Arabidopsis thaliana: one gene and its partners. The protein of the gene in region 2 interacts with the protein of the main gene of each other region in a pairwise test. Each region holds a gene or a part of one and is shown on either strand. Other genes may lie near its edges.

The links.
Region 1: the proteins of AT4G19645 (region 2) and HHP4 interact in a protein complementation assay, tested with the Arabidopsis thaliana proteins (one large-scale study listed by BioGRID).
Region 3: the proteins of AT4G19645 (region 2) and AT4G30500 interact in a protein complementation assay, tested with the Arabidopsis thaliana proteins (one large-scale study listed by BioGRID).
Region 4: the proteins of AT4G19645 (region 2) and TBL18 interact in a protein complementation assay, tested with the Arabidopsis thaliana proteins (one large-scale study listed by BioGRID).

The regions. Positions count from the first base shown.
Region 1 is NC_003075.7:17,698,992-17,703,500, forward strand, and holds HHP4 (heptahelical protein 4), read left to right. Parts: upstream 1-1,642; 5' UTR 1,643-1,894; intron 1,895-1,994; exon of another isoform or gene 1,995-2,015; 5' UTR 2,016-2,224; coding exon 2,225-2,490; intron 2,491-2,582; coding exon 2,583-2,835; intron 2,836-2,923; coding exon 2,924-3,577; 3' UTR 3,578-3,961; downstream 3,962-4,509. Other genes in the region: AT4G37682 (hypothetical protein (DUF1399)), read left to right, coding at 4,470-4,509. UniProt on the Arabidopsis thaliana protein: May play a role in abiotic stress response.
Region 2 is NC_003075.7:10,689,246-10,694,630, reverse strand, and holds AT4G19645 (TRAM, LAG1 and CLN8 (TLC) lipid-sensing domain containing protein), read left to right. Parts: upstream 1-1,799; 5' UTR 1,800-1,818; intron 1,819-2,609; exon of another isoform or gene 2,610-2,639; intron 2,640-2,668; exon of another isoform or gene 2,669-2,870; coding exon of another isoform or gene 2,871-2,957; exon of another isoform or gene 2,958-3,144; intron 3,145-3,235; 5' UTR 3,236-3,332; coding exon 3,333-3,446; intron 3,447-3,533; coding exon 3,534-3,622; intron 3,623-3,691; coding exon 3,692-3,833; intron 3,834-3,929; coding exon 3,930-4,004; intron 4,005-4,071; coding exon 4,072-4,269; intron 4,270-4,354; coding exon 4,355-4,414; intron 4,415-4,561; coding exon 4,562-4,690; 3' UTR 4,691-4,873; downstream 4,874-5,385. Other genes in the region: AT4G19650 (Mitochondrial transcription termination factor family protein), read right to left, coding at 1-1,243; ARA7 (Ras-related small GTP-binding family protein), read left to right, coding at 5,182-5,220.
Region 3 is NC_003075.7:14,901,314-14,905,508, forward strand, and holds AT4G30500 (transmembrane protein (DUF788)), read left to right. Parts: upstream 1-2,037; 5' UTR 2,038-2,244; coding exon 2,245-2,328; intron 2,329-2,527; coding exon 2,528-2,721; intron 2,722-2,998; coding exon 2,999-3,083; intron 3,084-3,189; coding exon 3,190-3,255; intron 3,256-3,358; coding exon 3,359-3,451; 3' UTR 3,452-3,695; downstream 3,696-4,195. Other genes in the region: AT4G30490 (AFG1-like ATPase family protein), read right to left, coding at 1-46, 158-237, 321-570; ATG18B (autophagy 18 B-like protein), read right to left, coding at 3,986-4,112.
Region 4 is NC_003075.7:12,967,742-12,973,144, forward strand, and holds TBL18 (TRICHOME BIREFRINGENCE-LIKE 18), read left to right. Parts: upstream 1-1,817; 5' UTR 1,818-2,010; exon of another isoform or gene 2,011-2,247; 5' UTR 2,248-2,445; coding exon 2,446-2,965; intron 2,966-3,472; coding exon 3,473-3,747; intron 3,748-3,856; coding exon 3,857-4,663; 3' UTR 4,664-4,903; downstream 4,904-5,403. Other genes in the region: AT4G25370 (Double Clp-N motif protein), read left to right, coding at 5,006-5,223, 5,327-5,362. UniProt on the Arabidopsis thaliana protein: May act as a bridging protein that binds pectin and other cell wall polysaccharides. Probably involved in maintaining esterification of pectins. May be involved in the specific O-acetylation of cell wall polymers.

The DNA of each region.
Region 1 (4,509 bases), 7.0 Mb from region 2:
TCCATATTTTCTTCAATAGTCTTTTTCTATTATTATTTATTGTTTATTTTTCCATATTTTCTTCAATAGTCTTTTTCTATTATTATTTATTGTTTATTTTTCCATATTTTCTTCTTTAGTCTTTCTCTATTACTATTTGACGGAACTCTTTGAATGTCTGGTCGTTACAAGCTTAAGTTGTGTCCCCACATGGAAGTTATTCGGTTGGGTCCATCGAAGGAAAATTGATTGAACCGGTCTGGTCATTCTCTCCCAAACTATAGAACCAATTTCGGTCTGCATCGGAGTTTCGAAGTCGCGGACTTATCAGAGTGGGCTTTTTAAGGAATGTTTTTAGAATATTTACCAGCCCAATCCCATTTTAAGTATGTCCAGATCTTAATTTGGCGAGCCTTTTTATATATGGTGAACAACTGATTCTAATGTGTATGTTTCACTTTTATTAGAGAAAAAATGTGAAAAGATTTAATGTGTATGTTTCACTTTTATTAGAGAAAAAATGTGAAAAGATTCTTAAAAGTATTTATTTATGCTAATTGGCAAAACTAAAACATCAATTTATGTACATCATTTTAGTTCTTCCTCTAAGATTTGATTGATTTGTATTAATGGCTCTGAATACTGATACTAGTTTCGTTGGCAAGTAAGATAAGTGATAACTTTGATAAAGAGTGTCAAATTACAAGTGCCACAATTTGGAGTACGTAACCAAATTGACATAAAACTTGAATAGGTGAAAAAACGAGCCAGAAAAAAAACGAATATCTTCTGCTTATCCGAATAAAACGAAAGTAATATTCTTACAAGATCCTTCCTTATGAAGTAGTGCCAGTAGATATTTTTATCATTGTGATTGCGACCTGTTTGTTGCGATTCATTTATGCCAATTCACGTTACTATTTATGTTGTGATAAAATCTTTTATTTTTCTTCTTCTTTCCAAATACTTAAGTATGCATGATTATTGATCCGTACAAGCATAAACGAAGAGCTATAAAGTCTCCAACGGTAAACGTACGTGAACCAAAATAACAATTCAATATTATGGTTCGAATTATTCTGTGTATTTTATGTAAGAAAATAACCAAAACCGACTCGAAACAAAACAAAAAAATCTTCTGAAATGTGAATCTTTATTTCGGAAAATTCTTAACGATAGATAGTTTTTGCTTTAAAATTAAATCCAAACATAAACTAGAACTGAAATTCAATTCGTTGTCAATATTTTCTATACAAAAAAAAAAAAGAAATCCGACCAAATAAACAAAACCATAAATAGACATCTCCATTTTTAGTTGAAAGATGATTAAATGCAATAAATGTGCCACAATCATAAATTTTTCCTTTTCACCTAATTGAAAATTTTAATCATTAATAAGAAGAATCCATGGAGCACAATTATTTTATTTTTTATTTTTTGCTCTCATATGGTATGTTAAATTAATTTTCCCTTAATTTAAATTCCCCATATCAAATAAGTTTTTTTTTTTTTGAGAAAGACTTGATTTCATAGGAGAAATATTTGTTAATATTTTCGACAAAACATTTTCTCTGTTTGATGTATTTCCATCCTCGTACAATAAATACTCTAGCTATTAAATTCTTAGCCCAAACGAAAATAAAGAAAAATAAAAGGGTCCTACTAATAAACAAAACAAAACTAGTGGTCCCAATTTGAAATATATAAAAATATATAAAATTCATAAAGCTTTGTGGCTTCAGAGCTTCCACTTCCATCGTCGTCTTCTATTTTTTCTTCTTTCTTCGATTTCATACCAAAACAAGAACTCTCTGTTTTCGACAAAAACGAAACCTTGAGATCTATTTTGATTGACTTTTAAGAAAGAGAGAGATCTTTCTTAGAAGATTTTGTCTCGTCGGCATTGAAGATCCAGGTAACAAAATCTCACCTTTTCTCTCCTAATTTCACGAAATCGAAGAAAAATTCTCATAATTCTCTTAATTACTTATCTCTCAATTTCTTAAATCTTACAGGGTTTGTCTTTCGAAATTCAGGTAATTTTCTCAAATCCATTTATGGATTGAAGCTTTAGGTAATGAATGAGCTGAATCTGCATATAAAAATCGATACTTTCATTATCCAGAACAAAACAAGATTTAGCATAAACGTTCAAAATTGAAACTTTGATTCCTAACTTCTTGGAATGATTCAGATTGAGCTAGATTTAGATCTGTATGATTGATATTATGGGTTTGGTTTGTTTATGAGTAGAGAGAAAATGGGTGATGAGGCAGAGATCAAGGAACATTTAAAGCCACAAGCTTCATCTGAAACAATGGACAAGAAACATAATGTGAAAGGGAAGAGGTTATGGCAGAAAGTCAAGTATCAATTGGTGGAGTTTCATTCATTGCCTGCTTATTTAAGAGACAATGAGTACATCATTGGTCATTACCGATCCGAATGGCCGATCAAACAGATTCTTCTCAGCATCTTTACCATTCATAATGAGACTTTGAATGTTTGGACGTAAGTGTTGAATCATGTTTCTTGATGTATCCTTGTTTAAAGTTCAAGAGCCTTGAGTGTGTTTGTGTGTGTGTGTTCTTTGGGATTTGCAGGCACTTGATTGGGTTTTTCCTGTTTTTGGCGCTCACTATATACACTGCAACGAAAGTACCGAGTGTCGTGGATCTTCATTCGCTTCAACACCGTTTACCCGATTTGTTGAGGAAAACAGATCTCCACAAACTTCATTCTGAGCTCATGGCTCGCCTTCCTTCTAGTCCATCTAGTTGGCATGTGATGGACCTTCTTTATAACTGTTTGCCTGAAAGATTTTCTCATGGCAACTACACTGACATGTGTGTTCTGGTAAGAAAAGACTCAATCTTTCTCTCTATTCCTGCAGATTACTGTTTCAAAATGTGGCCAAGTTCATATCTTTGTAATTGCATTGCAGCATTCTGTGAGGGAAGATCTTGCAAACTTGATAGCTCCTTTGATCTTCAGGCCAATTACTCGATGGCCGTTTTATGCATTTCTAGGTGGTGCTATGTTCTGTCTATTAGCAAGCAGCACGTGCCACCTCCTCTCATGTCACTCCGAGCGAGTCTCCTACATAATGCTTAGGCTTGATTACGCCGGCATCGCAGCTCTAATAGCGACTTCCTTCTACCCTCCGGTTTATTACTCCTTCATGTGTGATCCTTTCTTCTGCAACCTCTACTTAGGATTCATAACCATCTTAGGAATCGCCACTGTGCTTGTTTCTCTCCTCCCGGTTTTCCAAAGCCCGGAGTTTCGGGTGGTGAGGGCGTCTCTGTTCTTTGGAATGGGATTCTCTGGCTTAGCTCCGATTCTTCACAAGCTGATAATCTTTTGGGACCAACCTGAAGCCCTTCACACGACAGGTTATGAGATTTTGATGGGTTTGCTTTATGGGTTAGGAGCTCTGGTTTATGCAACTAGGATCCCAGAGAGATGGATGCCGGGTAAATTCGATATAGCAGGACATAGCCATCAGTTGTTTCATGTTCTGGTTGTTGCTGGTGCGTTCACGCACTATAGAGCTGGGCTAGTGTATCTTAAGTGGAGAGATATTGAAGGATGTTGAAGATGAAGATTGAAGATTAGATGGAATCTTTGAATCTTGTTTGTAGTAGCTTCATATAAAAGTTGGATTATGTAAAGTCTTATATGTAATCAAACGTTTAATTGTTTCCTTTATTCAACAAAGGATTTATATTGTTAATCCACATATGTATTACTGGTTAAAGAAGCTGAAGGATTCATATTTTTAGATGATTCCAGTCTTGATTGCAGCATTCAAAGTATCATAATCCAGTGTCAACCTCATATAGCCTCCTTGTGAACCTGACACAAGCCTAATTGTTCCATGGCAGAGGATACTTTGATTCTGATCTTCTTCTTGAAGGTTTCCCCTGATTGGTATACATTTCGAATGATCCATAAGTGTTGATAAACTACAAGTACACAAAATATGAAACAAAATCTATGCACATCAATAAAAATTCAGAAATCAATAAAATTTACTCTGAAAATGCAGAACATTTATAAGTGTTTGTTATTGTTTTCAATATATGAGAGGAGGAGCTCCCCTACTATTTTTATATTTTTAGCCAATGAGAGAGCTCCACTTCATACCCCACTTTTACCAATCGTGCTATTTCACAGCCACTCTCACTCATGTCGCGTTGAGCGCGTGTCTACGATTTCTAAAGGGGTTAATCCACAAAAATCATGCATTTTTGGATCCACGCACCTCATTCTCAAAAACCCATCGCGTGTCGTATTTTTTTTGGTTTTCTTCTCTAAACCAAATTAAACCGAACCGAGATCAATTTGAATTTCAAAACCAATGTAAACCCATCGCTGTGAAAACAAAAAGCTCGGCCACTGTAACAACAAAAATGGAGACGACACAACTTGGAAGAGAAATCAACTCGAAATAGCCAAGAGAATGTTCGTAAACCCCCTCAAATCCGATGCTTCCTTTGATTCCAACCTCCAAAAGCCCATCTGCTC
Region 2 (5,385 bases):
ACAATCTCAAAGGCTCTTTCTTTAAGATCTTACATAGCTCGTCTTGTTTAACATTCAAACTAAGACAAGCAGTTCTAGGTGCTGGCAGAGAGCATGAACCAATAAGCTCCATATGACTCAGCAAAATCTTCGTGATAAACTGCGTTTCCATTCTAATAGCAATCAAGAAATCCAACGTCTTCTGAATATTTTTCACGCATTTGTCTGACAACATCTCTGGATTGTCTATAAATAGCCTATAAATCTCATTCACTTGAAGCCCCGCTTTAAACAACCTACCAAACAGAACATAGAATTTCTTTCCGGAGCCTTCGATTACCAAAGCTGGATACGTTTTCAAAAGACTACTCAACTTCTCCTCTTTACATCCCACTTTATCAAGAAACTCTATTGTCTCCAGAATTCTGCGCCAGCTATATGTTTTCCGGTCAGACAAGTACCGCCCAAGCCAATCACATCCTACTTGTAACCCTTTCAACTTATCAACTACAGAAGAAAACTCAGCATCAATCCCACCAACCAGTAGCAAAGGGCAACTAGTAACTAACTTAATAACTGTAGCCTTACTAAGACCCAAATTCTCATAACCCCTTAGCTTCATCGCCAACATCCCAGATTCATATCTAAAAATCTCTCTCGCTTCTTTATACATACGGCCAATCTTACCACGCGGGATCCCATAGTTGCAAAGAGCATGAAAGTTCTCAAACATGATACCATCATCACTCAAAAACATTAGCTTCCGTGGAAGAAACGTTTCAAACTCATAAGGACACAAACCCAAACTCTCGAAAAACGGTTCAAACTCGTTTATCGGATTGTACCTAAGGAACTTAGTCAATCCCTTGGATACATCTTTCTGATTATCATCAATCTTAGACAACAAAGTCGACATAAAACAAGGAGAATTCTTACTTATATGCTCTGCATCAGTAAAAGTAAAGCTTCTAGTATAATGCAAGTAATCAAAAAGAGCTTCTTGAGCTTGATTCCTACTAGCCCTTGATACCGGATTAACGAAAAACCTAGTTGGTAAGTGAGACGAGTGTTGTTGTAACTTAGATTTATCCTGACGAACACAGCTTTCAATCTGAAAACTCCGAAATGGAACTGAAACACGAGAAAGGTCGAACCTTTGAACTGGGTTTTGACGAGGAATAGATGAGAAAGTTATACAGTAGTTGAGATTTGAAATCATATTCAACAGTTTATGAACTCTTCTCTGATTTCTGGATAATAACATCGCAACCTAACAACAAAGAGAAACAGGTGAAAGTCACAATCAAATAGAGAGCTATGAAGAATTCTCAATGCTTACTCTTTCAAGTAAGAAATTTACCTGAAATTAGGGCTTATTAAGCATTTGAATCAACCATTTTCCCAAGATTCTTAGGGTTCATAGCCAAATCTCAGTTACTTTGCTTAAACCTTGTTCTGGCTTCAAATTAAGGTGGAAATTTCAGAGAAGCCCCTAAACGTTTATAATATATCCGAAACGACCATAATCTTATTTTTCTATACTTCAATATGTGCCTAAGAGTTTCCGAAATATCATAAAGGTACCAATTAGTGCATCATCAACACTTGGCCTTAAAAGACTTGACGTGAGATATTATTATTCCTCTTTTGATACCGAATTAATAGACTTGTCAAGTTTAGACTTGTCAAAAGTGATAAACATATCACACGAAATCGTGTTATTATCACGAGCGTTACAAATTCTTCAAGTATATCACTATAAAACGACTTCAAAACCCAACCAAGTGGTGATTTCTTTGAGCTGACTATATGTATGCAAGATAAAGGCAGCAAGAAACGGTGAGTTTTCTTCACGAGCATAAATGGTTTGTTCGTCTTTCTGATTTTTGATTTTATAGATATGTAACTTTTTTATTAGGTCAATTTCAAGTGGTCCATGGTAGATTCAATTCATGTTAGGTCATCATCTTCAAGCTAAAACGCCTACCAAACATATAATAACAAGTATTCTTTTAATCACTAGTTTTAGTTTCAAAATATTTCTGACTATCTTAAGTGCATTTAGATTTTAGTTCAACATGATGGAAAAAGATAACTTGACTCTTGTTTAACTTGCATATGTTTTGTTTGACTATTTGTTATGTTTGAGAGGAATGATTTTTCTTTGTAAAACAGCTTTATATAAAACTTGTGGCTTACTCGGATGAATTTTATATTTGTTTTGATTATTTTTCAAATGTTGTTTTTTTCAAAACCTTTTGACAGTAAATTACAATATAAATTATTTTCAAAGATCTTAATATGTCTTATTTAAGTGAATTTTTAATTATAATTATAAGTAAATTATTAAATATAGATTATAACAATGAAGTTAAATCTTATTCACTATATCTTTAAATATTTTTTTCTCTTATTTTTTTAATATTTTATTCACTATTTGTAACAAAATTATAAAAGCCAAAATTACCAAATTTCTGCAAGAAAAAACAAAAAACAAATCCTTGGCTCCTCCTAAAATCCACCTACCTTACCCTTTTATATATAAGATACAACCAAAAACAAGATGATTTGGTGCTTTCAATATAAAAGATATAATATTTCATAATTAACATATTCTCCCTTAGGTTTTCCTGCACACTCGATTTAAATCGTCTAACAAGGTCAGAATCCATAATTTATACAACCATTTTCTGCTTCCTTTGTTTCCTCCCTAATTACATGTTATTAACTATTAAGCATATCCTTAAAACAAAACCCAAACTGAATTATCTTTGTCAATAGTTGTCTTCTCTCTCGATTATTCTTAAGATAACTACTTTGGTAGTTTTGTTTTTTTAATTACTACTGCACCCTCTTGCGCTTCAAGTTACTTGGTAAAAAACTCTCTTAACTTTGGATAATTTCTCGAAGTCTCTGAAGAAAGAACCCTTTTTTTCTTCTCTCATAATCGTCTCTGTAACGTCCTTCTCCTTCTTCATCTTCTTTGCGTTTCTTCTGCAGCCTTTTGCGGTTCACGTGTTGATTGCTTCTGTCTCTACTTTTTGTCCGTTTTAAAGTTTAAACTTATTGTTACAAAATTGGATTTTCTCTGATCAAACGATAAAAACAGAGTCTTTTAGTATCTTCTTCTTGGGTATAACGAAGATTTTTGTGGTTTCTTCTGATGTAATTCACAAAACCATTTGTATAATCCTTGAAAAGACTTTTTGTTCAGAAATGAAGTTTCTTACTTTGCTCTTTCTTTTCTATATTTCAGTAATGATGATGATAAAGCTTGAGAGAAGTGATTAGTCTGTAGAAGAAGAAGAGTTAAAACCATTCACCAAAGAAGAAATTGAGAACTAGAGACAGTCATGGAGATCAAATCTTACCAAAATCAAGCAGAGTATTTTGTTGAACACTATTTATTAGCAGATCCATTTCTTCCATATACTTCTGTTCTTGTTGGAATCTGTCTTTGCAAATTGGTAAGTTTTGCTTCTCTTCACTTACAATTGCAGAAACTTCACTTTTTTCTGCATTCTGTTTTTAAACAGTGTAGCTTATGTTCTTAGGTATATGATCTTACGGAGTTATTCAGCTCAATTCATGTCAAATCATACTCAGCTCTCACAAAAATAAAGAGAATTGAATGGAACAACAGGTATGTATAGGTTCCTTGTTTCAGCCTTTATATGTTATGCTCTAGTCTCTTATCACTTTGGCTTGACAGGGGAATTTCTACAGTCCATGCGATCTTTATCTCATTCATGGCATTATACTTTGCGTTCTTCTCTGATTTGTTTTCTGACCAAAGAAGCCTTGAAACCCTTACGGTGTTTCGTAACTCGCCTCTGTCTACCTTTGGTTTAGGAGTAAGTTTTGATCTTTCTTCATTTTATCTCACAAGTCCTACTCATGAGCATTGATCAACTTATATGGTACTTTGTTGTGATGTGTTTTTTGCATAGGTATCAGTTGGTTACTTTCTTGCGGATCTTGGAATGATCTTTTGGTTATACCCTTCTTTAGGAGGATCAGAATATGTAAGTTAGACACATGAAAGCTTATGTGGTCTTCAATTACTTGACAATCTTGTGTTTTTTGTTTCAGATATTACATCACTGCTTATCTGGAACAGCAGTAGCGTATTCTTTGTTCTCTGGAGAGGCTCAGCTTTACACATACATGGTTTTAATCTCTGAAGTGACTACACCAGAGATCAATCTTAGATGGTACCTTGACATTGCTGGTTTGAAACGATCTAAAGCTTATCTTGTTAATGGAGTTGCTATATTCTTTGCTTGGTTGGTGAGTTTCTTAAAACCTTTGTTTTTCGTTGTAAATGTCTGAAAACTTGATCTCCTTTTTTATAGCAATGATGTTTTGTTTGCAGACAGCAAGAATTCTTCTGTTCATCTACATGTTTTACCATGTCTACACACATTATGATCAGGTAATCAAGATTTCGGTTTGATTATCTCTAAACCAAACGGTCTAGCCTTTAGGAAAAATAGGAATTACTCTGTTTTTTTTTTTTTTTTGCTGTTGTATTGGTTAGGTTTAGAGATAATGAATTGATGATCAATGGATTTTTCGGCAGGTGATAGAGATGCATACATTCGGTTATCTACTGGTATTTGTTGTACCGATTTCATTGAGTGTCATGAACTTGATCTGGTTTGGTAAGATAGTGAAGGGATTGAAGAAAACTCTTGAGAAAAGACAGTGAAGAAAGAGTTGTGTTTTTTTTTTTATGTAAATATAAAACTCTTATGAAGAATCTTACAAGTTTATAAGCAACAAAGATATGGTTTGTTTCTAACTTTTAGCTTATACACTAATTATGTTCAAAATCTCATTCCCATTATTCCCACAACAGTCCCTATGCATGCTGAATACTTAAATCCATGTACGAAATCAATAGAGGACTTAACCCAAAAAGACTTGGGCCTAAATCTACATTGGGCCAACGATTATATTCGTAGTTTTTTCGTGTCATATTAACTTGCCGTGTAATATTTGTTTACTTGTATTTTTTGTTAGTTCTAGAAAGAAAGCAACATTAATTGAGGAGGAGGAGATTGGTTGTTGTTGACGACGCGTTTCCGCTCACTAATTTTTTTTAACCTTTTTGTGTCTCCGTCGTCTTTTGATCTTCAATCTCAGTTTTGAGCTGAAGATTATCGTATCGACCTGCGATTCTCTTCAGATCGATAATCCATGGCTGCAGCTGGAAACAAGAGCATTAACGCCAAATTGGTCAGTCTTATTAGCTCGATTCTTTTGAGTTCCCTTGTGGTTGGTTTGTCTCTCTCCGATGATCGTAAAATTGATTGAATTTGCAGACCCGTTTTGTTAGATTTTCAGTTTTCTGGATTTGATTCTGTTTCTAATTTGGAGAATTTTGATACGTGATGTTGAATT
Region 3 (4,195 bases), 4.2 Mb from region 2:
CCACAAGCTCATCATATAGTCTCTGAAGCTCTCTCAATGCACTAATCTACAACATTTCAAACACAACCTTAAGCCGCAAGTAACACGAATCACATTTAATCTTATAGCTCAAAAGCTTCAATGAAGTAAAAAAGAGTGGCTATTATTTTTATCATACTTGGCAGATATCACCAGTCATGAGTTCACCATTACTGATTCTTCTCTCATACTCAACAAGAGGACCTGTTCTATTCACATCTGTCATCATTCAACAAATATCAGCAAACCAATAAACACGAACTCTGAGATTGATAGAATTTCTTTGCAAAGAGAAACAAAACCTGAGACGGTGACCCTAGTAGTAGCAGGATCAGCTGCTTCTACTGCTTCTGCTGATAAGCCTCTAAAGATACTTGACCTTGAATACAAACTTGAATTATCAGTGTTTGTATTCAGCAGAGCTTGATTTTGATTGACACCGATCAAAAGTTTGCGGCTTTTGGAGTAGAAAGTTGAAGAATAACGTTCTTGATTGTTCCTTAGAGCCCATCTAATTCTACTGAGAGATGATAACCTAATGATTGGTCTCATCTACGATCAATGCAAATTCAATTCAGCAGCTGAAACTTTGAGATACGGAAACAGAGCAAGAACAATAACCCAAGAAGAAAAACAGAATCTTTGTATGAGAGAAATCGGATCCGGATAAGAATTAGAGCACAAGAGGAAAAAGTGAATGAGAATATTGAAAAGTTAAGTTTGATGTTTATATGTAATGACGATGATAAATCTGGATAAGAGAGATAGAGAGAGACCCAAGAATAAACGGAGATGTAGTCAAATAAGGAAGATAGAGAAGAAGATCTTTAACTGTTAAACTCTTAAAACAGAGAGATAGAGGCGTGATTAATGAGTTATTTATCAACTAAGACACGTTTTTTATTTTTTTATTTTTATATACTTTCAATTTTTTAACCAAAATTGATTGTGTTGTACTTCTAATTACATTTGTTAATGTTGATTGCATAGTTGTTTTCCAGGTCATTAGAGGATTGTATTTGTCCCTTATTTAAGAGAGTTGACTATTTTTATTCCTATGAAAAAAGTAATTTCTTGATATATCTTTACCCTAATGATGTCTACAAGTCAAATTACAAATTTTATAAACAATTTTTAACATTTGTAATTATAGTATAGAATATTGGAAACGGAAGCTTCTCGATGTTGCGTTTGCGTACAGGATACTGGTGGACCTAGCGAATGTGTCCCATACATAGGCTAAGCATATTCCAAGTGGGAGAGAGATACGTGAATCAGACATGGTCCTTAAAGATGATCCAACGGTCTATAATTTTTCTAGTTTTGTTCTCAATGGGTAAGTTGAACAATGGACCTTAATGATGACATGTTGCATTGCGTATGATTCCACGTGTCCACGTCATTTCTTACACTGCAAACATGTCTTTTTCTGACCAACCCCTAACGCTACTTTTCTTTGATACATCTTTGTTTTTGCTATAATGGTGCTTGTTGACAAAATAATACTATGTTGAATTGACCTAAAACCATACTCAGATTGGGATATCCGAGAACCATTGTGTAAGACGTGATGTTTGATCCAAATATGGGCTACACTCAAATATTGGATATAGGCCCACAAGATATGATATCTTCATTTTTTTTTGTCTATAGAACAACATAAAACAGGGAAAAAAATTTACACTACTTTTGTTCTTGTTCCGTTATAAATATCGTTTTACCGATTGATCATAGAAATGGTATACTTTTTAGTTTTTGGAACAGCGGTAAAAGGTTTTATGTTGATGTCTTCTCCGAGCGCCGGTGATTTTCACACAGACCTTGTTATTGGAAAACTGAAATAATGCAGTTTTCTGTTGATAGGCCTTAAGATGTCAGATTTTATGGGCCTTTTAGGTTGTTCTGGCCCATTTAGATAGAACTGTTTCAGTTTTCCAACAACAACTGATAAGGATAGACGAAAGCCCAAATTAAGAATCTTTGTCCTAAACCCAAGGAAAAGCGTAATTACGACACGCAGCCAAACAAAACATTTCCTGCGTGAAAAAAGTATTTGAGAAAAGAGGACGACAAAAAGGTACAGGTGTCAATATATAATTGGATTAAACAAGCTTAGACACCTAAAAGTTTTCTCTCACACCATTTGTGAAGATCCAAAGCAAAAGAAGAATTACAGAAACTGAAAAAACTATCTTCCTCGTCTCTTTGATCATTCTCTTTTAACTCATGGCGAATCAAGGAGCAAAGAAGAGGAAAGATGAGAACGCTCGACACATGGCTAAGCTCCGTCTCATTATGATCCTTTGCAACGTAACTTCCTCGTTCCTCATTTCTTAAATTCTCAATACATTAATCCGTTGAGCTTAGATTTGTTTAGATACGTTACTTGTATCAATATGGAACTAAAAATCCGTTGAATTTGATCTTTAGGTCTCGAAAGTTTCAATGTTTAGCTGATTTTGTTTCGATGAATTCGAGGATTGATGTTTTTGGCAATATGTGTTTGCAGATTTTGTATGTCCTAGTGAGGGTTATAATTTCGCATTCAAGTCATACCTGGAAAAATTGGATTGGTCTTGTGTTAACATCGTTAGGTTACGGGATTCCATATAAGCTTCTTCATCAAATGGCAAAGCCTAGTGTTAGTGATGCTGGTGAACTTCTTGATGGTGGATTTGACATGAGCACTCCTGGAATGTGTGGGTACGTTCGGAAAGATTTGTCTTTTAAATTGATCAACTAGAAAGTGCCTGCTTTTGTCTCAAGTGTTTCTGTATAGTTGGATTCTGTTTCCATAACCAAAAGCAATAGTAGGAGGACTGTTTCATTATCAGTTGTTTGAAATGAGTGATGTTTTACTAGTTGTGGCTTTCTCCGAGTTTTATCGTTTATCAGTTGCTACATAATCGTCATCTTTATGGTGGATTGGATTTATGGTAGATTCTATAGTATAAGCCTGATGCTCTATTCTTCCTTGCAGATATTTGCATGATGTACTCTACATCACCTGCTTTGTGCAGGTCGGATCTATCATCTCTGGAAAGTTTTGGTACGCGTATTTAGTGGTATGATACCCATCTCAATTTTCTTTATTGCCATATTTTAAGGCAAACAACAGATTTGCTCTGTAGGAATGATGCAACCATTTACTTTTGCTTGTTTTTATTTTAGATCCCTGCATTTGGAGCATACAAAGCTTCTGGTCTTATTAAGGGACTATTGTCACATGGTTCAGAGGTAATCACTTTGTCTTGAATACTCTCAAAGTGCTTTGAACAAGGGGGAAATAAAACATGATCATTTAAAATGGACTGTGTTTTGTCTATATGACTGAACTTAGGGAGGTGTTGAGGATGAGAAGACTCGCAAAAAGAGGGAGAAGATGGAGAGAAAAGCTTCTAGAGGACAAGTCGTTAAGACAAGATCTCGATGAATGTCTTAAACATTCATCTTTAGCAAACACAATTAGCAAATCTTTCTTCAAACATACAAAATGCAAATCAATGGGTAAATACTCTTGACTTTGTAATGTACCTGTCTTTACACTATTTTGACTTAATGGATGTGTTAAGATGAAGTAGACTAATAGTCTTGAGTAGGATACAGTGAATTCTCATAAGATAAAAGACTTTTGCTCTTTGGATTATGATGATGTTATGACTTGTGAGCCATTAGACCGACAAATGATCCTGACTTGAAAATTCTGATTCATAGCTAAAGAGCCTTGACTGTAACTATGGAGTAAGTGGGATATGATGGAAAGAGTTGGGAAACCATTTTGTATTTCATTTCTTCAACACAAATCAAGATTAAGATACAGTAATAGCACGGAAGAGCTAATTATATTTGCGAATAACCAAAGAACATGAGACTATAAACATATTCTTAATGAACCCAAGGTACAAAAATTGTTACATACAAAAAAGTTGCCCAGTACTTTCATATATTTGATATTTGGTTGTATACATCACCCGGTGGTTATGGAGAAGAGATTGAATTCACGTTCCAGTGTCCATAGAGACTCATTCTTGTTATTGATACTTAGCGTATACTCCTGGAAATATCCGTTATAAGTGATCACCGATACCGTTGCTCTGAAAAGAACGTGAAAGGTAAAAGATTATCAAAACTTGTCATGTAACCATGGTTTCAAAATGAAGATATCCTAAAATCTTAC
Region 4 (5,403 bases), 2.3 Mb from region 2:
CATTTCCTTTTTTTGTGCTTATAAATACATATTTATTTATTTTATTTATATAATAATTTGAAAACTTAGAAATTACACTAATTTATTAATTCTTTACTTACAAACAATTGGTTTTAGTTTTTAAAATTATCCAAGGCTGATTTCACCTAATTAAAATAACCATGACTAGATTTTAACCCGCGGACAACTTATTTTTTAAATTAGTATATATAAAAGTTTGCAAATTAAATCTATTTATTTTTATTTTATAGTTTACAATTGTTATTAAATAACGTCTTACCAAACCCGTCTCGCCAAATCCGCCCCGTAAAAAAAAACCGCGGTACACCGCTAATTTAAATATATAATTAAAAGAAATATTTTACGGGATTGCAATTGTATTTTGGTTTGTCAAACAAATATTTGTTTAAAATAGTTGCCAAAATCTAGTTCAAATTTTGGAGAAAAAAGATTTATTGGATAGATAAAGAATATATTTAGGTGGGTTTTGCTCATTTTAAGGGATTGCAATTATATTTTTGTTTGTCAAACATTTTTTGTTTTAAATAGTTGCTGAATATATTTGGAATATTTTTAGTTTATTAATCAATTTATTGCTGGAAAAAAATCAATAATTAATACTCAATGGCAGCCTAGTAAATAAGTCCCAACTCTAAGATTTATTTCACAAAATGGCTGCAAAAATGTATATATAGATGATTCATTATTTCATTTTATGCGGTAGGAGTAAAAACAACATTAACTAGCAAAAACTATAATACACACACAACAGTAACTACTCATCGAGTATGGCATTCATGGATACGAATCAAATCTCAAATCGTATAAGCCTGGCCATTATTTTATTTTACAATATTTGATAATGTGCTACCTAAATATCAAAATTTTAGAATATTCTGAAATAAAATGTCGAATTTTTGTGATAGCCTTAAATTACTACATGCTCACGTATGTAAATTTTCTATTCTTTCATAGTTAATTTTCTATTAAAATGTACAATTTCCAGTTTGATGGTATGAAGATCAACAAAGTACCATAAAAATGTATAATTTCTATTTCTTCCTAATTAATATTCTTTAAAGTGTAATTTTCCAGTTCATCCTTGTTAATTTTCTTAAATAATAAAATGTAAAACTTACAAATTTCACGGACTTTATTAACAGAAATGTAAATAATTGTAAATAAATGTAAACATACTGTGTCACAAGAAGACATGACAAAAAATAAAAACAGTAGAAATAAACTTTTTTCTGGGTGCGTGTGGTAAAACAAACATGGGGACTGATCCAATGAAGTTTATCGCAATTTCTGGAATTTCAGTCGGTGTATTAATCATCATCGCACTGATAGTGGCTTATGCCTGCTATCGTGCCCGAAAGGAAGGACCAGTCAGAGGCGACGGACGACTCACACCTATTGTAATGATGATATGATATATCACCTATTTTCGATCTTTTTCTAATAATTTATTTTATGATGCAACTTTTTAGATTACTATATACTATAGAAGAGCATATTGTAATTCTATTTTACCTATATAATAATAAATAATATTTCGGCGATTTTGTCATATGCTGGAGTGTTACATTAGATGATGACTAGTAGGGTTTTTTTTTTTATGTGAAAACAACAATCGTTGTGTCATATAACGCGAAGTGACAAACAAACAATTCGAAATATTAGCAATGTTACAAAATTCGAAATATACGCAATGTTATGGTGGTGTTGACCGAAGGGTAGTTTCGTAACTTTACATCATCGCGTGGTCGTATACGCGCCGATGAGATCACAGACGGCATTAATGGGCTCCGGAAGAAGAAACAAATGATTAATTTAAGGAATAAATTACCACTAAATTCGTTTGATTATTTCCGGAAAACAATTAACTAATAAAACTATAACTAACCTTTGTTTAATTTTTTGATTTCGCGTCTTCACTGTTGTGGATTTCTTCTGAATCTTCTGAGCTCGCTTCACCTACAAGAAGACAACAAGGATCATTTTCTCTAGGTTCGTAGATTCTCTTTCTTCTTCTTCTTCGTTTGGATCTGCTTAGTGAAGAAGATAATCTTCTGAAAAATTGTTTGTTTTTTTTCTGAAAATCTGAATACGTAATGATTTGAGCTGAATCTGAGTTAGATTCACATTTATATTCTGGATTTGTGCTATTTGATGATTTATTAGATCGATCATCTTGTTTTCTTCTTTCGCCTTTAAGTATGTTTGCTCATAGTGTTGCTCTTCCAGATTCCAGATCCTGAAGAAGGTGAAATCTTATCTGTGATCCAGTGGAAGATTGAATCAAGTAACAGATTCACTTAGTTCACTTGCGTATTGCATGCCCCTGAAGATAACATTTTGAATAATGTTGATATTGAATTATCACCTATAAGCTCTGGTTCTTGTTGCTTGTATTGGTTCTGGGTATCTACTAGTGAAGAAACCATGGCTTTTGGTTCTCCTAGGAATAATTCTATATTAGCTGCGGCTGGATTTCCTCGGAAAGTGTCTACAGTTGCAATTGCTATTGGTGGTTTGGCATCATTCTTTGTTTTCGGATTGTTGCTTCGTCTTTCGTATCCGAATAGTTCTTCAGTTGGTGGCATATTTTATGGGATAGGGAATCCTGAACAAGTTCATGTCCCTTTATCTTTGAGCAACCATACTGTCAATATCCTTCAGAAGAGTAGTGACATCAATGCGTTTGATAAAAATCTGACTTCTGATTCTAGCTCTGGCTTACCTGTTGTTGTTAGCAAAAGTATACCACCTCCAGATTTCAGTAGTGATAGGAAGTTGGAGACACCTTTGACACAAGAAAAAGAGGATTTGGTTTCTTCGGATATAACTGAAAAGACTGATGTTCAATCAGGTGAACGTGAAACCAATGTTTCCAAGGCTGAAGACACTCCAAGTGCATCATCTCCTCCAGATGATGTCTCTGAAACTGCTTCAGCAGAACCAGGTACTGTTGTTATCTTTTAAACGCTTATTTCCGTAGCTTTTGTCGTATTTGGAACATTTTGAGTTATGGTAGCTTAAATTTCAATAAACAAAGACTAAGCTAGTGTGGGAATGTTATAGAACATTTAGTTTTGCATTTCTATGGAAAGGCGTAAGTTTCTGAGAAGTTTTAAAGAAATTCAGCGGCTAAACTCTTAGCTATAGACCTACTGTAATTATTCTAGCCGAGGACTGAATATAGCAGATTAGAGTAAAAACTTGGTTAGGGAGCAGATAGTGAGTGCTGGGCTTGTAAGGTGGTCTCAGCATTTTGTTTTAGGGGTTAGAGTTTCTAGGCTTTGTGGGCATTTGGTTGAGAGTTCTACCTGTTTTGGTGAATTGGAATAAGAAGAGCAGTTTCATAGATCTGTTCTTGTCAGTTTCCCTTGCTTCTCATGATTCTAGCTGTTCGATGTTTTATATTTCTGTTATGAGTTTGTCGCTTACTCAAATCTTTGATTGCTTGTAGAGTGTGATTTGTATCAAGGTAGTTGGTTTTATGATCCTGGGGGACCTCTCTACACGAACAACTCTTGCCCTGTCCTGACGCAGATGCAGAATTGCCAGGGAAATGGAAGACCTGACAAGGGATATGAGAACTGGAGATGGAAACCGTCTCAGTGTGAGCTTCCTCGGTTTGATGCCAGAAAATTTCTTGAACTTATGAAAGGCAAGACACTGGCCTTTATAGGAGATTCAGTAGCTCGTAATCAGATGGAGTCCATGTTGTGCCTTCTTTGGCAGGCAAGTAATTCAATTTAATGGTGAAAACCGGTATAAGGGATCTATTGTGTTGCTTTATTCAGCTTCAGGAGATCGTATGTATTATATTAAAGTAGGTTTCTGTTTTCAGGTTGAAACACCAGTCAATCGTGGGAGCCGAAAGATGCAGAGATGGTATTTTAAGCAATCATCAGTAATGATTGCCCGTATTTGGTCATCTTGGCTTGTTCATCAGTTCAACGAAAAATTCGATTATGCTCCTGAAGGTGTCACAAAACTAAAGCTGGATCTTCCTGATGAGCGCATAATGGAAGCTATCCCGAAATTCGACGTGGTTGTCCTCTCATCAGGGCACTGGTTTGCAAAGCAGTCTGTCTACATATTGAAAGAAGAGATCGTGGGAGGCCAATTATGGTGGCCAGACAAATCAAAACCCATGAAAGTCAATAACGTGGATGCATTTGGAATATCAGTTGAAACAATCCTTAAGTCCATGGCTACACACCCGAACTACAGCGGTTTGACCATTGTGAGAACATTCTCACCTGATCATTACGAAGGTGGTGCTTGGAACACAGGTGGATCATGCACGGGGAAAGAAGAACCCATCCTTCCAGGGAAGCTAGTGAAAAACGGATTCACAGAGATAATGCATGAGAAGCAAGCGACAGGATATAACCAAGCCGTCGATAAAGTCGCGGAGAATTTGAAGCTAAAACTAAAGCTGATGGATATCACAGAGGCATTTGGATATCGCCATGATGGTCATCCTGGTCCATTCAGAAGTCCTGACCCTAACAAGATCACTAAACGGGGACCAGACGGACGGCCTCCACCTCAGGACTGCTTGCACTGGTGCATGCCAGGACCAGTCGATACATGGAACGAAATGGTCTTGGAGCTCATAAGGAGAGACAGGAAAAGCTCATCAACTTGACTTGGTTTGAAACTCAAAGGATGAGAGAGCATATTACACGACTTATACTATTAATCTGATTCTTGGTTACTGATAAACTCAAAGATAAACTCACTTGTAGATTTGTGCTAGGCACGGTGAGTTAGGATTAGAATTTGTTCCACTATACTTGTTGGTTCGTTTGTCCTGAGATTGAAATTTAAGATTTGGGAGTTATGAGTTCAAGTTTATTCATACTAGTCGAAATTTCATAAATTATATAAACTGGGGGGGGCGCATTTGCAAAATAGCTGAGTAATAATCGCCTATCTCACTGACTCACCCAAAGCCCGACCAAAAGCTTTTGATTCCTCAAGAGTGAAAATGGCGTCGTACACAGTCTCCTTTATCCCTTTGACGCTCTCTAATCCTCGGATCTTTGTTTCGAGACAGAATGGATCTCCCTCGTCTTCTTCTCGGATTCCTCTAACGTCTTCTCTGTTAGGTAAGAAGCTTCTGGCGACACAACCGTCGCATCGCTGCTTCGTCCCCAAGCTCCGGTGCTTGACCTCGGCCAGCACGGTCTTAAACGTCCCTATTGCGTTAGTTTTTTTATCTGACAGCTCTTTTACATCTTTATCATTTCTGGGTTTTTCCTTTCACCACGGATATTGAAGCTTAGGGTGTTAAGGTTGAATTTTTCAGGCAACCGGAGAATGGTTCTTCGGATAAGATCCCAAAGTGAGTCTCACTCCAAATTACGTATAGAATTTGTAATTGTA